Linked DNA regions of Arabidopsis thaliana. The protein of the gene in region 2 interacts with the protein of the main gene of each other region in a pairwise test. Each region holds a gene or a part of one and is shown on either strand. Other genes may lie near its edges.

The links.
Region 1: the proteins of MYB56 (region 2) and GRP2 interact in a two-hybrid assay, tested with the Arabidopsis thaliana proteins (one large-scale study listed by BioGRID).
Region 3: the proteins of MYB56 (region 2) and AT2G24700 interact in a two-hybrid assay, tested with the Arabidopsis thaliana proteins (one large-scale study listed by BioGRID).
Region 4: the proteins of MYB56 (region 2) and AT5G44080 interact in a two-hybrid assay, tested with the Arabidopsis thaliana proteins (one large-scale study listed by BioGRID).

The regions. Positions count from the first base shown.
Region 1 is NC_003075.7:18,070,888-18,074,826, forward strand, and holds GRP2 (glycine rich protein 2), read right to left. Parts: upstream 2,296-3,939; 5' UTR 1,965-2,295; coding exon 1,353-1,964; 3' UTR 562-1,352; downstream 1-561. Other genes in the region: AT4G38670 (Pathogenesis-related thaumatin superfamily protein), read right to left, coding at 1-188, 286-340; AT4G38690 (PLC-like phosphodiesterases superfamily protein), read right to left, coding at 3,856-3,939.
Region 2 is NC_003076.8:5,875,309-5,879,839, reverse strand, and holds MYB56 (myb domain protein 56), read right to left. Parts: upstream 2,728-4,531; 5' UTR 2,594-2,727; coding exon 2,212-2,593; intron 1,929-2,211; coding exon 1,503-1,928; intron 933-1,502; coding exon 769-932; 3' UTR 509-768; downstream 1-508. UniProt on the Arabidopsis thaliana protein: Acts as a cell-specific local repressor of quiescent center (QC) self-renewal by cell divisions in the primary root. Counteracts brassinosteroid (BR)-mediated cell division in the QC cells.
Region 3 is NC_003071.7:10,512,381-10,517,168, reverse strand, and holds AT2G24700 (Transcriptional factor B3 family protein), read left to right. Parts: upstream 1-1,757; 5' UTR 1,758-1,880; coding exon 1,881-1,958; intron 1,959-2,033; coding exon 2,034-2,313; intron 2,314-2,388; coding exon 2,389-2,525; intron 2,526-2,619; coding exon 2,620-2,887; intron 2,888-2,954; coding exon 2,955-3,064; intron 3,065-3,152; coding exon 3,153-3,417; intron 3,418-3,501; coding exon 3,502-3,788; intron 3,789-3,877; coding exon 3,878-4,120; 3' UTR 4,121-4,285; downstream 4,286-4,788. Other genes in the region: GLR2.3 (glutamate receptor 2.3), read left to right, coding at 1-289.
Region 4 is NC_003076.8:17,737,317-17,741,702, reverse strand, and holds AT5G44080 (Basic-leucine zipper (bZIP) transcription factor family protein), read left to right. Parts: upstream 1-1,753; 5' UTR 1,754-1,968; coding exon 1,969-2,916; 3' UTR 2,917-3,829; downstream 3,830-4,386. Other genes in the region: CAD1 (phytochelatin synthase 1 (PCS1)), read right to left, coding at 4,031-4,117, 4,379-4,386.

The DNA.
Region 1 (3,939 bases), on a different chromosome or scaffold from region 2:
TTGTGAACACAAGGTTCGTGCCCAGAGACGACCGGACCACGACTCTGGTATTGCGACGGTTTTAGATTTTCCTCTAGAGAGACGAAAGCCAGTTGTGGGGAGCGGCGCTGAGTTAGCACCAGAGAGCAAACCGGGCCATATCGTGTTCCGGCAACGATTCGTGATCTTGAACGAAATTGGCTCAACTTCTGCCATGTGAAACCAATTCAATCAAAATCGTGTAAAGATTGTTAAACTCGATAGTCAAGCAATAAAGAAGCAAGGAATTAGACAGCGATTATTGACCTGAAAGAGATGAGACAAAAGCCAGGATCATAAACAAGAGGATCCGATTCATCATTGCTGTTACAGGAGGATTCGATCGGATTCTAAAGTTGAATGCTTGAACGAGTAAAGCGAGCAACTTTACTTTCGAACGATGGAAAAAGCGGCGGAAGAGAGAATAGAAAGAGAGTGAGAGTAGTCGATAGAGGAGAAGAGCTTCTCTGTTTCTTTGAAACAATAAAACCGAAACCGGATTATTCTAGTTCCAAACTGGGTTGGTGAACCGAAAATTAACCGGTTTTACGGTTATCCATTTAGCGATGCGCACGTGGTATTTTGGTTGTGGACCATGAAAGTTCAAACATGATAAAAGTTGATAATTTATAGAGAGCACTCCGATTTCCAAGGTAACAACAACAACAACAGATCTAAAATCTTCCCATATCTGCTTTTATTTACTTAATCCAATCCGAATCGTGTGAGCTACAGTAAAATGCCAGTGTGATCATGATGAAACGGTGGAAAGAAGTTGAGAAGATTACATTTTCTGAAGATATACAAAAGATTGAAAATACAAACGACATCGAAGATAAAAAGTCTAATAATGAGAATGATGGAGACTGCAATTAGTATTCAATTCCTTCCAGTCCATGGAACTTAAATGCCATTAAATGCAAAACATGAGCAGATAGATTTTGTATCTATGGGAATCGTTACATAATCCATAAATAATTCAACCATAAAACGATGATCTCTCAAGATTTAAGTATCCAGATCTTACGATTCATTCAGATGACTGAAACAAAACCCAGAATATTTGTTCGCATATTATGAACACTTGAAACAGAGCAACAAGTAGAGCATTTCACCCATATCACAAGTACCATAAATAAAACCAACCATAAGTAGCAAAACCAAAAGAAGAGTCCTAATCCGAAACCATCAAGAAAAAACCAACTAACAAAGATAGAGATCCATCATAATAAGCAAAAAGTGGATAATAGAGAGATAGAAGGCGGCGGGAGAAAGAACCGATCACTTGTGAGATAACCAACTCACTCTTCTCCACCGCGTAACCGGCGTTGGTTTTAACGTCCACCGCTGGTGCAATCCCTGGCGAAATGTCCCGACTCGCCACAGCTGTAGCAGCTTCCCCCGCCGCCACCACCTCCACGGCCACCACCTCCGTAACCACCACCTCCTCCGCCGTATCCGCCTCCACCTCCGTAGCCACCGCCGCCTCCTCCGTAACCTCCACCGCCTTCAGAACAGTCTCTCGCCATGTGACCGGGCTCACCACACTTGTAGCAGTCGCTGCCTCCTCGACCACCACCTCCTCTTCCTCCGTATCCACCACCGCCACCGCCGTATCCACCTCCAGATCCGCGTCCACCTCCTCTTCCTCCACCGAAACCGCCGCGTCCGCCAGATGAACCACCACCGCTGTTTCCTTGGACGGGAGCGCCGTCGGGTCCAGAAACATCGATGGCCTTGGGACGGTTGTTGTTGTCGATCTCAACCTCGAACTCTACGGCTTCTTCGGCAGCGAGGCTACGGAAACCCTCAGATCTGATGGAGGACTGGTGAACGAAGAGATCGTCGCCACCGTCGTCAGGAGTGATGAAGCCGAAACCCTTCTGGGTATCAAACCACTTGACGGAGCCTTTGCGCCTCTCACCACCGCCGTTGTCTCCGCTCATTTTGATTGGAATCTCTTAATAACTCACTTTTTTCTCTAAATCTTTAAAAAAAACGAAACCCTAGAAAATACTCTGAAATCTCTCTCTCCTCGCAGCTGCTGTTTATATGCGTATAGGAAGGGTGTGGCAAGGGTATGACTGCCACGTCACCCACCCCAATTCATTTTTTCCTTGTTTCCAAGAGGAAATAAAATAAATGTTTTTATTTAGATCTCTATTTCTATATATGTTTGTTCGATTTTTGTCTATTTTTCTAAATTGCCTTCAAAAAAAACATCTGCACATTCCGAATTGTATATTCGAGCGTGATATTAAAATAAAAAATCTCGCGATTAAGATACCCAGAAAATTAAAAAAACATAAATTTCGTTGATTTCGAAAATGAATCTGCAACTAAAATATTAAAAGAAAGAAAAGTAAGTTAAAAAAGAAAAGAGGAGTTAGAAAATGGGCCAGCATGTGATAAGGCTTAAATTGATTAATCCATTTCGGGAAAGAGAATGGATCATTGGCCCAGCAAGCAGTTGCATCTGGACGGTTGGGGTGTTTTTCACGAGGGATATCAGCCGTCAGATTCTGATTTTAGATCTGAAAAGCTAGCTCTCTGGGGAATAGAGAAACAAAGATCAATTAATTTATTTTTATTTTTTTACTTTGTATGTTGTATTTTATTTTTTGTTGCAGTCAACAACAACATTAAAGAATGACATGCAACGTCAGCAACTGGTCAATATACTCTTTTCAAAATTTTCTCAATCTTGTGGTCAAAATAAGCATTAACTGTTGTTCCACTTTCCACGTACATTTTATGAGGCAGATTCACAAATTTTACCAAACAGTATGATAATTGTATGAAGTAATTTGAGAAGACTATTGACCGCAAAGAGATTGTCCTTTGTTGGATATCGATTTTTGAGTATCGATTACAAAACTAAATTACCAAGTAATTAATTTATAAGAGAAATAGAAAATGAGTAAAATTTAAAAATTATTGAGAGATAGAAAATAGATCCCTTTAAATTTAGCTTATAATTCGAAAAATGTGCATGTTTTTATCTTAATCACTTACCGTGAGAAAGTATAGGAGTAAAATGATGTTATCGTAAAGTGCCAAACAACAAATCAAACTTGTGCTTAGCAAAAAAAAAAAAAAAAAAAAAACTGGTATCATTTGAGAACATGACTTAAAACGCAGCCGTTTAAATAAAAAAAGTTGGTTTCTCTGCATCCCATGTCTAGAGTCTAGAAGAGTGGTCTCGCTGCCGATCTCAGCAGGGAGAATAATTTGGCTCGGCTCAATCACTCTTGTGGATCAAATGCTCTTCTTCTTCTTCTTTTGTGTTTCAAGTCTTGAGAAGAAATCTAATCTCAAATTATTAGGATTTTGCACCATGTTTCCATCATCTCAGTTTATAGATATAATCAAATAATGAAATTATAGAGATGCATTGTGTCATTAGCTACTGATATGAATTCTAGCATAACTGATTCTATTATCTTTTTGTTCTTGAAGATCACAGTAGTGTGTAATAAAAAGGGGCATTGCTGCAGAAATATAGTCATCTCTCAGGTTAGCAGCTCTCTTTCACTTGTTAAAACTAGATTTTACCATCAACTGTATACTTCTTCCTTCTGTTTTGCCTGTCTATCAACTACAACATCTGCAAAAGTATCAGAAATTAATAGTAATGAAGAGTTTGGATATCTCGCAATTGTATCAGGATTCAAATAAGTTGTAATGAATTGGAATATACACTCGTAAATCACACACACATACAAATACACACTCACATGTTCTCTTATACACAAGCAACCCTAAAACACATCAACCATGTTCTGATTCTTTTCCTTCAAAATAGATACACAAAGTCTGTCTCCACACGCTCATTCCTCAGGCCTTACCTTCAGCTCTCGCAAAGGTGAGCCCAACGCAAGCATCAACAAATTCATTATCTATGAAATCAGTTGAGAATAT
Region 2 (4,531 bases):
TAGTTACCATTTTTTCTTCTTGGGGATGTCAATTTTGTGAACTTGATATAATAATGAAAGAAGGGTAGGGTTTTTTTTTTTTTTTTTTTTGAACAGAGAAAGAAGGGTAGGGTTAAGTTCAAAATTACGACAAGAAACGAGTAAGCCCACTTCTATGTGAGCTTTTTGGACCCTTTGTAAATGAAAGGTACGTCTATATATGGGTTTCTTTTGTAGTCCTAGGCCCAACTTAACAATGTAGCTGGTATCCGATAATAGGGATCCGAGCCGAGCCGAGTAATTGAGATTTTAAATTTAAACAAGAACTCATTTCCCACGTTGATTATTTACTTAGAAATTCCTGAATTATTTATATATGTGACATTCCAAAAATAGCAGATAACATCCTTCATGTAATGCACTATAAAATGCAATAGGTTTATGATCAAAGCTTGTAATTTACCAACAAAAATAACTCGCTGGTTTTAGTTACTGCTATTGTTTCATAATCTATGTTAAATTTGCGTGTGTGAGTAAGGAAAATTGCAATATTTTATGAACACTTATTCTAATTCTACAGAAAAGAGGTTGATTATATATTCAACTTTTTATTTTACTTCTAGGTTTTGTTTTTGTTTTCAGTTTTCCCTCATACCGCTTACTTCTTCCAAAACCCAAATTAAGATGTTAAACAAACATGCCTAATTAACCAGGAAAAATAGAAGAAACTAAAGCCATTTCTTATCTCACAATTCCTCAGCATTGAACCCTAGCTCTGCAACTAATTAATCAGGAAGCTCCAACTCCAAGAAAATCAAAGTAGTAATAGCCACTCCTCATCTTCATCTCCACCTTTCTTTCACTGACTGAGATTGTGTGGTGATTTTGATGGTCCATCTTTTTACCATATATGCCATTTACTTCTGCTCTCTGCACACACTGACCATCTTTGCCTGCAAAATTAGAAAAATAAGTTCTCAGCACCCACGTGAAATTTTGTTATATTGAAATAGTAACGTGACAATAGTACTTCACCTCCTTATATTATTATGCCTATAGGTACTCTTACGATGTAAAAACAGTTTCTTTCTTTTCTAGTCATTCAAATTTATAATTATTGCCATGTATATGAAAAAGTGTAGGAAGTGGTCACTCGTCGTCGGTTATACAACATGTCGGCCTAAATTATCATTTTATATGCTTTGAACATTCAAAAATTAACAAGACTGGAATCTAATAAGCTAAATTTAGACCACAAATGATATTTGGAAGTACCGGTTAAAGTATAAACCGATCATGATCAACGATACACCCAATAAAGATTGCAATACGATCTCGACCAACCGACCGAGATCATTATAGTTAGATTCACGAAAACACTTCTCAAGAAAGCCGAAAACGAAAAAAAACATTCCAAGTTTCTATACTTTTAATGTCTTGGGTCATGAAAATAATATATTTTCAATAGAGAAAAAAAAAAAACATAGTAAACATAATATTTAAGCAAATAAATAAAATGTTACCTGATGCAAGGGTACTATCGTAATTAAAGAAGCGAGGCTGGTAAGCTGAAGAAGGCGGAGTGAGAGAGAGCTCCGTCGTACAAGTAGAGACAGCTGACACATCGTCGTCGTCATCTTCTTCATTGATGAACTTACCTTGATTGTAGCGGCAAGAGGACGAAACCGTCATTTCAGCGTCTCTTGACAACGTCGGAGGAGGCTGTTGACGTTGTCTTTGGCTTTCTCTAGTCCGTCGAGCCATGATGACGTGCCAATGGTTCTTGACAGCGTTATCGGTACGACCTGGAAAGAGACGAGAGATCAAAGCCCACTTGTTGCCATAGGCTCGATGAGCTGCTAACAGCCTAAACTCTTCTTCCTCCGTGAAGGCTCTCTTGTTAATCCTTGGGTCTAGTTGGTTAAACCATCTCAATCTACAACTCTTGCCTGTAGTCAAAGAAGTGTCCCTCACATTATAAAAATTAGTTACTATCAAGCATTATGTCATTATGCCTTATACAACTTAGTCTAACTTGTAAAAACTATTTTTAAAAAAATCCAAACACAATTACGAAAATGCCTAATAACTTTGGAAACTCAACTCACCAAAGTTTTTAAATATATTTACTTATTTTTCTTCTACATAAAAATAGTTAAATTTGCGGAATTTGGAGTAACAAAAGTGAAGGAAATAATTAAGTAATAAGAATTTTAAGTAAAATAAATGTACCTGATCTACCAAGAAGGTGGTTAGAAATCAAGTTCCAGTTTTGGGGACCAAACTGGGCAACAAGCTCCTTGAGTTTAGCATCTTCTGTTGGTCTCCAGTGTCCTCGTGAGCATACTTTTGTGTTAATTCCACTTTTGCCCCTCATTCTTAAACTCTTTTCGTTTTCACCTCTCTCGTTCCCATGTTCATCTTCCGACTCCAAGACTGAGGCTGATTTGTTGTGAGGATGGTTTCTAGAGATAGAGGGGTTGTTGAGTGAAGTTTTACAAGCAGCAGTGTGTGAGTTTGGTAGAGATCTGAAGTTGTTTGCTTCTTTGTATCTTATTGACCCATTTGTAGTTTCCTTACCTCTTAGATCTTTCTCAAGGAGATTTGGATTCATGTTTCTGGGTTTAGGGATTAAGGGAAGAGAAACTAAAAATAGAAGAGAGATAGAGGGAGAGAGCACTTGAATGGCTTTTCACTGTTTATATGGTGGAAGAGGAAAGAGAGATTCTCTAAAAAAAATTATTGAAATTTATATTTTTATTTACATTTATTTGCAAGCTAGTTAATATATATAGAAGAATATTTTAGAAAATGATGATGAGTGCAGAGTGGTTATTTAATGTACATGAAAAACAAAATTGATAGCTGTTTATTCACACACCAAAAGAAATTGAAGGGAAAGTTTTGTAAAAGCATATTCAAATGAATTACAAGTGTTAATTACCAAATTGTGGCCTAATAATCCCATGCTAATGGTTTTATACAATTACGTGCGGTTTCATTTTATTTATCATTTTTTTTTTTTTTTCAGCAACCACATTTTAACTATATTTATAGTCGATGCCTCGATGGTGGTCGTACAAAATCGAAATTCGATCATTAAAATTCCAAGATAGATCTATAACAATTTTTCATCACTATCTTCATAAGAGCTGCTTGTTATTGTACTAATATTGTGTTAATTAAATAGTTAAAATGAAACCGCACGAAAACATTAAATATTCAAGGTTCACGTTTTCCTTCACGTACGTTGCGATTTAGTTTTTACTCTTACACGAAAAATTTCGAATAATGAGATACTTTCAGTACAAAGCTCTCTCTCTCTACACGTGCAAAAGTAAGGGATTTGGAAAAGTCGGTGGGTACGTGTAGTGTAGATGCATGCAAAACGAGACCCGCTCGTGCGTGTGGGAGGGTTCGATGACCATAGGCCCCACAGTCTCAACAGTCTCGGAAACTCCAAAAAACATTTTTGAACCGCTCGTGTGGCTATAGTATATACTATGCACACATACAGATATTGCACGTACGTTAAGTGTGTGTGTGTGAGTTAATTATGGGAAAAAACAACAGAATCAATTTTTGTCTGTTTCGGACACAAAGCAAGAAAAGATCTTAAAGGGAGAGAAATAAATTGCTTTTATGAGCTTTCTGTTCTCTCCATAACGTATAAGTGTGTATATATATATTCGCATCTTTCAAAGAACTCGTTTTGTGTAGTTAAATTATAAAGTAATATGATGATTAGCTCAACAACTAGTTCAAGTACTTCAATATCTTTTGAACGATGGGTTCGACGTCGTTTGGGGTGTATACATTTTTACTTATATACTATATTCAGTGAAATTCAAGCATTGTTTTTGTTTATTACTTAAATAGTTAATTGAACTCAAACAATGTTGTGCGTACATTTAATGGAAAACAGACGTGGCAAACAGAAAACATATGCACATCCTATATTTTTTGCTACTAGTTTAAATTTAAATTTTGCTGTAATTTTTGTTTCAGGATGAAATATATAATCTTTGTTGAAGTTTTTTAAAAAAAACTATCATCAAATTGGTTATTTTAAAGTAAGTTTTAGGTACGAAGGGAACATAGTTTTTTTAATTTTTAGGAAAACTAAAAGTACAAAAAAGAGAAGAAAATGTGAATGGTGACAAACAAAAGTTCAATTCATTTCTTATAAACCAAAAATAATAATTGAACAACCAACTCTATTGAAGACCATTATTATTCAATGATATGGACTATTTATGCTCCCATTGAACCTATAAGTTGTAGACTTTAGTTTTTTGTATCTTTTTGATATAAGAATTGAGTGGTCATTCGTTTGAATGTAATAATTATCTTTCATGCGTAACAACTTACTATAGTCTTGATATGACTAAACAAAGCTACATATTTTAGTAATTGTACTAAACTCGATCGAGTATGCAACCACATAATTTTGATGGATTAAAATACTAGAGATTAAAGAGAGAAATCATGTAACTGAACTCGAACTAGAATTAAATTCAACAATAATAAATGAAGAATAAAACAAATATAA
Region 3 (4,788 bases), on a different chromosome or scaffold from region 2:
GTTCAAGAAGAAAGAACAAAGCTGTCCTGATCCAATTACTAATCCAGATCCAAATCCCTCTTTCACCTCTAGGCAGCTTGACATAGACAGTTTCTTGTTTCTGTTTGTTGGCGTGTTACTTGTGTGTGTTATGGCACTCGGAAATTTCACATATTGTTTCCTAGCGAAAGACCAGGTTTCGTACCTCGATAAGGTAGAGATGAGTCCGTGTTCATCAAGTCAACAAATGCCTGTCAAGAGGAAGACACAATTAAATATGTCTCAAGTTCATGACCAAGACAGTCTTTAATTTAACAAAAAAACATATGCTATTATTATACCAAACTATTGTACTTTTTTTTTCTTTTGAATGAAGAATTGTACTTTATTTTGTAAATAAGGATTTTCAGAAACAAATGACCCATTTAAGAGAGACTATCAAAGTTACAATAGAGGTAGATTTTATTACGTGTTATGCAAGACATTAAACCTAATGCTATAAATTCTTATGTGCTAACGACTAGTAGCATATTAACTTATCTGGAATTAGGGTTATACTTTTTCTTTTTTGGGTTATACTTATATGCAGTTAATATAATCTAAAGAAATTTTCACGTTTATGCTGAAAAAAAGATGTGGTCTCAGCGCAAAGTGAGATGTGGATTTCATAGTTTGACAATTAAGACATTTTAACATAGAAGTAGAAAATAGAAAGAATAAATATTAGAAACGAAAATAATTTGGATAATTGTAGTAATAGTGTTAGTTTAACCACTTTTTAATATACTTAAATGCATTCAAATGCAAATCTATTATTGTAGTAGGACAAAACCAAGTACAGGTGAATAACTGGATATATTGGTTTATTAAGATACAATTGTGTTTGTCCTGCTCTGCTTTATATCCGTAACTCCTCTGTTCTTCCATTCAGACCCAATACATATTGGTTTTCACTGGAAAAGGAGACAATAGATGGAACTGTTCACAAACAAAAGAAAAGATGGATATTTTGGTGCGTTGCGCTTTGTACTTTGTAGTGATTAGTTTGGATTTTTTCTTTTTTTGCTTTGTGGGGAATAAAGAGATAGCCTAGATGCACGTGATACGTATTCCTACAGTGCTACTGAATACTGATGTACAAATAGTTCCCTCTCGTGATTTTTGTTTGTGGTTTCAAGAGAAATGTTGCTTACATTGAAGATTGAACACACTATTATTTTAAGCCTTTTTTGCGTGTACTTAAAATATTCTTTTACATTGTTAAAAATACAAAACGTTTTTCAGTTTTACAATAAACTCACTTTTTGAAAAATATAAACGTAAATGCAAACAAAGAATCGAATTCTTATTCTTTTTGACAAAAACGAATCCACAACGTAACTAACTAATTTACTGTCAAAACCATATGATATTTTGATAGCAAACATGAATGTTTTCACTTCCTAAGATTTAATTTCTTGTAAACTATTTTTACATTATTATGGTACCTACGTGTTGAATTAAGCATATTTAGTTTCAGATCTTTTTCTTCTTCTTTTTTTCTTTCTTTTGGTTAAAGACCAATGTCTTCTCAAGATTTATTTTTCTCGTTCATTGATATTTGCTAAGTTTATTTGATGAATATTTTCCATAACCAATCAGAGTCTTTATGTTCAATCCCAACACTATTCTCAGTCAAAACTTGTTTTTTTCGAAAACAATATATAGTCTTTGGAAAAAGCTGATAAAGGTCTTTTTTAACATTGCTTTATAGAAAAAGCTGAGAAAGTTTCTTTGACGTTTTGTATAGAAAGCTGAGAAAGGTTATTTTTTTACATTACAGAAGTAAGGGATACAAAGTTGTTAGTTCATCTTCTCTCCGCTCAGAAGAAGAAAAACTTAAAAAAATTCAACGTCTGAATATGGCTAATCCACTTCTCTATTCTCCGATCAACCCACAATTCTTCCAACCACTTCTTCCCGGTTTCACCAACCACCTGGTACTCTGTTTCTCTATACTCTCTCCGACCAGTTAAGTTACTTCTGTTTGTAACTCATCTAGCATGCTGTTTCAGGACATTCCTGTGGCGTTCTTCTTGAAGTACTTAGTGGGAACTAACGTAGGAAAAACGGCTGAGCTCAGATCAGATGCATCGGAGATGACATGGAAAGTGAAGATAGACGGCCGGAGACTCTCTAATGGTTGGGAAGATTTCACAATCGCACATGATCTCCGAGTTGGTGACATTGTTGTTTTCAGACAAGAAGGAGAGTTAGTGTTCCATGTCACAGCTTTAGGACCAAGTTGCTGTGAGATTCAATACGGAGAAGATACCCTTGAAGAGGATAAAATTGGTAACCTTAGTTTCATATTAAATATCATTAGCACATTTAGAATGAGTCTAAGAATATTACTTAATCTATCAACAGAGAAACTTTGTGGTACGGAGAATGTTTCAAGTAAGAAAAAGAGTCTAAAGAGAGAAGCTGAGTCTGCACCAGACAATTCACTAGATTCTTGTTTTGTGGCCACTGTCACGGGTTCGAATCTAAAGCGCGATACATTGGTATGTTACTTCCATATTACTCATTACAGTAATTTTTATGTTATTGTATATTCTTGATAACTCTATCTAACTTGGCTTGTGGCGGCATTTGCAGTATATTCCGAAAGAGTTTGCATTGTCAAATGGTCTGATGAACAAATATCAGATTGTGTTAATGAATGAAGAAGGAGAATCATGGAAGATAGACTTGAGACGCGAGGCATATAATTACGGCCGGTTTTACATGAGAAGAGGCTGGAGAAGTTTCTGTATTGCTAATGGGAAGAAACCTGGAGACGTTTTTGCATTCAAATTGGTCAAAAATGAAGAAACACCTATGATACAGTTGTTCCCTATGACCATTGAAGATTTAGACAAACTTCGTAAGTTAATTTTCATAATCCGTTGGTTATTGAGAAAAATCTCAATCAGATTCTATAATTGATACAGAGAGTCTTCCAAGACACAAGATTCGAAAAACAGAAGCAGCTCCTTCTTCACCGGACCTTTCTTCTTTTGTAGCCACTGTCACGGCTTCAAATCTAAGCCGAGATAGACTGGTTATGATACTCCTGACTTACATATATTGATTTTGATTTGACTGAGAGGTGTTTTAATGATATTCATGGTGACTGTACTTGACTGCAGTATCTTCCGAAGACGTTCATTATGTCAAATGGTTTGTTGAAGAAATTTCAGATGTGTCTAATGAATGAAGAGGGAGAATCATGGACGATAGATGTGAAACATGAGGCACATACAGGCCGGTTTTTAACGATAAGAGGTTGGAGAAGATTCTGTGTGGCTAATGGGAAGAAACCAGGAGACTTGCTCAAATTCAAATTAGTCCATAACGAAGAAACACCTGTGCTCCAGTTGTTACCCTTGAACAGTGAAGATCTACACAAACTTAGTAAGTTGTTTATGCTTTATTCTTTCAAGAAACAAAAATATTGAAATAAAATTGAATAACAAGAAGCACTTTCTTCCTCTGCAGATCCTAGCAATGACACAAGGCATGGACAGAGTTTAAAAGTTACCAAAAAAGAGTTTCTTGGCATGGAAGCCACAGAAAATGAGTTTCTTGGGGAAGAAGTTTACTGTAATGACTCCTTTAAAGCTAGCGAGAAAGATACTCTTCCTTTTGCTGAACCTATCAATGAAGATATAAGGCAAGGACAATGTTCACAAACTATTAAACAAGAATATGTTTCCACAGAAGAGAAAAACTCAACAAGCCAAAACCGATTTGTGACCTTAACACTTACACATTCAAGTAAACTTGTAAGTTTCACAAGAAAACTCTGTTTTTTTCTTGTTTTTTTTTTTCCACTTAATACTCTCGATATATAATCTGATGATGGTATCTACAGAATCTTCCGTTTGAATTCATGAAGCGGAATGGAATCAAAAAGGCGGGGAAGATAACGATGGTTGATAGATACGATGCAAAATGGCGTACTTCACTACTGATGGACAAGATCGGAACAATGAGTTTAGGAAGAGGTTCAAAAGGTTTCTGCGAGGTTAATGGTGTTGAGATGAATGAGTCGTTTATCTTGGAGTTGATTTGGGAAGACACAGTTCCTCTTCTTAAGTTTTGTTCCAAAGTTTGAGAACAATATTAAGAATGTCTAGGATCATCGCTCAAATAAACTTCTTTCCTTCTATGGTTTAATTTTCATGTTAAAAAATGCCGTTTAAATCATCATTAATTCAGATAATATTGGTTTACTAAACAAGAATCGTTAAAGATTTTATATAATTATTTTTGGGGGTCACTAAACATCTTGATTGTCGACACCAATCATAAACTTCATACTTCAGTATGTAGTAGAGATAGACTTCTAATTAAAGGGCTATCTGCTATACATGTAGCAAAAAATCAAAATTAACATCTTATACTGTATATCTTTTTTTATCATCATATATTTTTATCTTTATATTTTACTTTAAATGATGTGAAAATCATAGATAAAATATAGGAAAATGTAACTTATATTAAAGTGAAGAGTCATTTATATTAAAGTGAAGAGGAAGAAAACAGAAACAAGTTGTAAGATATTAAGCCATATATTGCAGAAACAAAAAATGGACAAAAATCCTTACTTATTTTACTATCAAATGATTTGATATTTCTTTGTATTTTGTTTAATGTGAAGAAAATCAAGGGAAAATCTCTCTCATTTATAGTAAAGTGAAGAGGAAAAAAACAGAAACAAATTGTAAGATATTATATCATAAATTGCAGACACAAAAATCCTTAATTATATTATTATCAAAT
Region 4 (4,386 bases), about 12 Mb from region 2:
GCATGGGGCACGTGCCCCAGTACTCATACACTTGCGTCCGCCCCTGTTAGTCTCTACATACATTACACGCAAGTAAGTTAAAAAAAAATCAGTCGCCGATCGCTGACGTATCGATTACAAAAAGAACAGGGTCATTCCTTTTCAAAAGCCATAGAATTTGATAGCAAAAAACTTAGAGATAAGTTCAAGTAAACTGAGATAAAAGAGTAAAGAAGTACGTGTCCAGAAATCGCTGTCCACAGAGGTTTGTTCATTTAACTCTGTTAAGATGATCTTCTCGATTGGATTTTAAGGTTTTAAAATACAAGTCCAAGTTTGATTTTATATACAGAACATCTCAAGATATAACATAAATGATCACAAATTCAAGGGAAAAACGTGTCCAGAAGTCGTTGTCCACATAGGTATGTCCATTTAACTCTGTTAAGATGATTTTCTCGATTGGATTTTGAGATAAAAAGGTAAAGAAGAACGTGTCCAGAAATCGCTGTCCACAGAGGTCTGTTCATTTAGCTCTGTTAAGGTGATCTTCTCGATTGGATTTTGAGATAAAAAAGTAAAGAATAACGTGTCCAGAAATCGTTATCCACAGAGATCTGTTCATTTAACTCTGTTAAGATGATCTTCTCGATTTTGCTCCAAATTTTTAACATCTATATCTTAAACACAAACGTAGAAATCAGTCTAACATCTGTGAATGAAAATTAGTCTCAGATCTAAGCTAAAATCTCCATCAATTTCACAGAACCAGAACTAGCAACAAGGTTCTTCAATAAGTGAATCAACCATCAAAAAACTTATAAACCGTTTATGATGAACACATAAGATAACCAGATTTTCTGAATATATACAACTCAAATATAATCATGAATCAAATTCACAGAACATGGACTAAGCAACGAGTTCCATCAATTAGTGATTCGACAATTGCTATCAAATAATTCGAAGTCCACTGCGAGGCTTTAATCTCCAATTTAAGAGAATAATCTCGAATATGAAATTGGAGAAGAAAGACAAAGAATTAAAGAGCAAGTAATCAGATTAATTTTGCAACAAATAACAAAAACATAAAACAAAAACCAAACCGCAAATCCAATTCAATTATTCAACGAGTCATGTAACTAAATCAGCCAGATCGGGCAGATTCTCAAATTGATGGTTTGAAAAAATTCTCCTTCAAGTCAGATCAAAGCAGATGTGGAAAATTTAAAAAGCTGAATTTCAATCTCTCTTTCTCATAAAAGCGGATGATTTGTTGAAGATGGAAGAAGGAAAAAGGAAGAAATCTATTTTTTGGCTTGATTTTTGTTTATTTCTCGATAAAGTAAAAGAAAAAGAGAGAATAAATAAGAGAAGGAGAGAGATAAAACGATATGTGATTAGACGATAAATGAGTCAAATCATCTATTCAAAATGCTTTATCTTTAAAAAGTGTCTAACCATAAAAATGTTTTTTAAAAAATATCTTACAGTGTAATATTCTCTAAAAACAACTACCATCGAGTTAAAATAACGTCATTAAATTACCTTAACTAAATTCAAGTAATAATAGTCAAGTTATAATACATTAATGATCTTGAAATAATTGATGCAAGTTTGACAACTACAGTTTGATGACACGCGACAAAACTTCCCACGCGCTCCAAAAGTTAGAAAATCTTATCCATTTTGATTTTAACCTTATCCAATTTACCAAAATCAGCTCTTTTCTTTGGTAAGTCTAAAAATTAAAACTCACGTGCCACATATGCGCGTGGTATTTTAAAAAAGTAATAAAAGTCAATTAATTACAATTTGGGATAAATTACCAAAAGTTCTCAAAGGTTCTCAATTCGACACAAAAAGCCCTAATCTCTGCTTCTGTAAAGTTCAACATTTGGCGGAGTCAAAGAAACAGAGTGATTCTCTGATCCGATTCCGGCGAAAGAGGACGAAACAAACGGAACTTGTTCATCATCTTCTCCAGAAATGACGTCGTTTCAGGTGATGCGTTCTTCAAATTCGAGAAACTCGGATCTATCTCGTCGCATCTCTTCTGCTTCTACTTCTTCTTCGTCTATAAGACCTCAACAACAGTTCCGGCGAGATCTAACAAGTGTCGGTTACGGCGGAAGAAACGACGGATTATACAGTTCAAATTCGATGACGGTCGAAGGGATTTTACACGATACTTTCGCATCAGATCCACCAGCACCAACGGAATCTTCACTCTTAGATGCGTCGATAAATCTGATGGATGCTTCTCCAGCACCAATGGAGATAACAACAACGACGGCTTCTGATGTTGTGGATCACGGCGGAGGAACGGAGACGACGCGTGGTGGGAAGAGTGTTGATGAGATTTGGAGAGAGATGGTATCAGGAGAAGGTAAAGGGATGAAGGAAGAGACGTCGGAAGAGATAATGACGTTAGAGGATTTTCTAGCGAAAGCTGCGGTGGAAGACGAAACAGCGGTGACGGCGTCGGCGGAGGATTTGGATGTGAAGATTCCGGTGACGAATTACGGATTCGATCATTCTGCACCGCCGCATAATCCGTTTCAGATGATTGATAAAGTAGAAGGATCAATAGTTGCGTTTGGGAATGGTTTAGATGTTTACGGAGGAGGAGCTAGAGGGAAGAGAGCGAGAGTGATGGTTGAGCCATTGGATAAAGCAGCTGCACAGAGACAGAGAAGGATGATTAAGAATCGTGAATCTGCAGCTAGGTCTAGAGAGAGGAAACAAGCTTATCAAGTTGAGTTAGAAGCTTTGGCTGCGAAGCTTGAGGAAGAGAATGAGTTGCTTTCTAAGGAGATTGAAGATAAGAGGAAAGAGAGATACCAGAAGTTGATGGAGTTTGTGATTCCTGTTGTTGAGAAACCGAAGCAGCAGCCACCACGGTTTTTACGCAGGATTCGGTCTTTGGAATGGTGATAAGAGGTATAGACTTTTGAGGATTTTAGGGTCTTAATGTTACTTACTTTGTGTATGTGTGTGTGAGAGTTGATTCATAATCTGCAGTAGAGTGTAATGATTATGGTTAATAACTTATATATTATATTAGATTGCATATGTTATTGGTTTTGCTGAGATTGATCTTATTTAGGCTGATCATAGTGAAGAGGGTACCAATGGAAACGAGATTCTTCATTTTGTTCTGAAAGATCTGGATTTTGGTCCTTATCCATGTCTGTGGAGGTAAAGCGAACAGAAGTGCAGTGATGACATCGTTTCCTGCTATGTACTTTGCTTCTGGACCATACTCAGAACCTTTGGTGACAGATTGGGTTGACGGCACCAATAGGCCAACCTCTTGTTCATTATTGGTATTAACTACCATCCCTGCTGTCACTTTAGCTTCCTCAACCCCAGGCATCAATGCATTTAACAGAACTATCTCGACAATAGAAGTCTTTCGATGAGCTTCCAGATAAGATAAGAGCTCCTGAAGTTAAGAACTTTCTGACGTGCTCCAACAGTTACAGTTCCATGCACTTGTGTCACTGCATCTCGCTGTGACCAGAGATTAGATAATCAAGTCAAGTGAAGATATTGATGGCCACAATGAACATTTAAGTAGGAGAATGAGATTTGAAAATCTCTCTGAATCATACATAGAATAAAGAGATTTTCTAAGAATCAAAACCATATCTCTGTCAGTATTTATAGCCACTGATCGGTGAAAAAGTGACCAGATCCAGTCTGCAATAGGATCTGTTAGAATCCGGATTCAAAATTTGACTGTCTAATACGAATGATCCTTAGCAAAACAGTGTACACAGTTGGGACTAAGGGATACTGTTGTTTTGAATGTAAGCCTTTGGTACTTATTTGTGGATAGTGGATTCATAATCTGCATTTGAGTGTGATGAAATATGATTCTAGGATTCTTAACTTATTGTGATTAACAATTTATAGAATGCAAGTTACATATATCTCTCATTGCAAATAGAGTTTGAATCGTACAGAGAATAAAGAGACTTTCTAACAATTAAGTGTTGAGAACGTGGGATTCAAATGGGGAAGAGAGAGGATTTGGGACAATGAACTAATAGGCAGGAGCAGCGAGATCATCCTCTTCCTTGTTCTCTTGGCATCGTTTTAGCAGCTGAAGTTGCCGTCGAAGATGCAATACCTGCATTTACACCAAATTCACCACGTTACTCATCTGCTTCACAGATTCATTTCACCAAGTACTCATTTAGATTCGGCATTTGATTTAGCTATATCTAAGGATGAACTCGAAAATAGTCATTGTCAATCTCAACTTAGATTAAGTTATTTGTTTCTTTTCCAAAAGACTTATATATCTCAAGTACAAAGATCCCATTTTCCACTAGAGAGAGAACCGTGACTCTTGATGATTACCGATAAATAGAATTGGTAAAAGCGTTACCTCTTCTT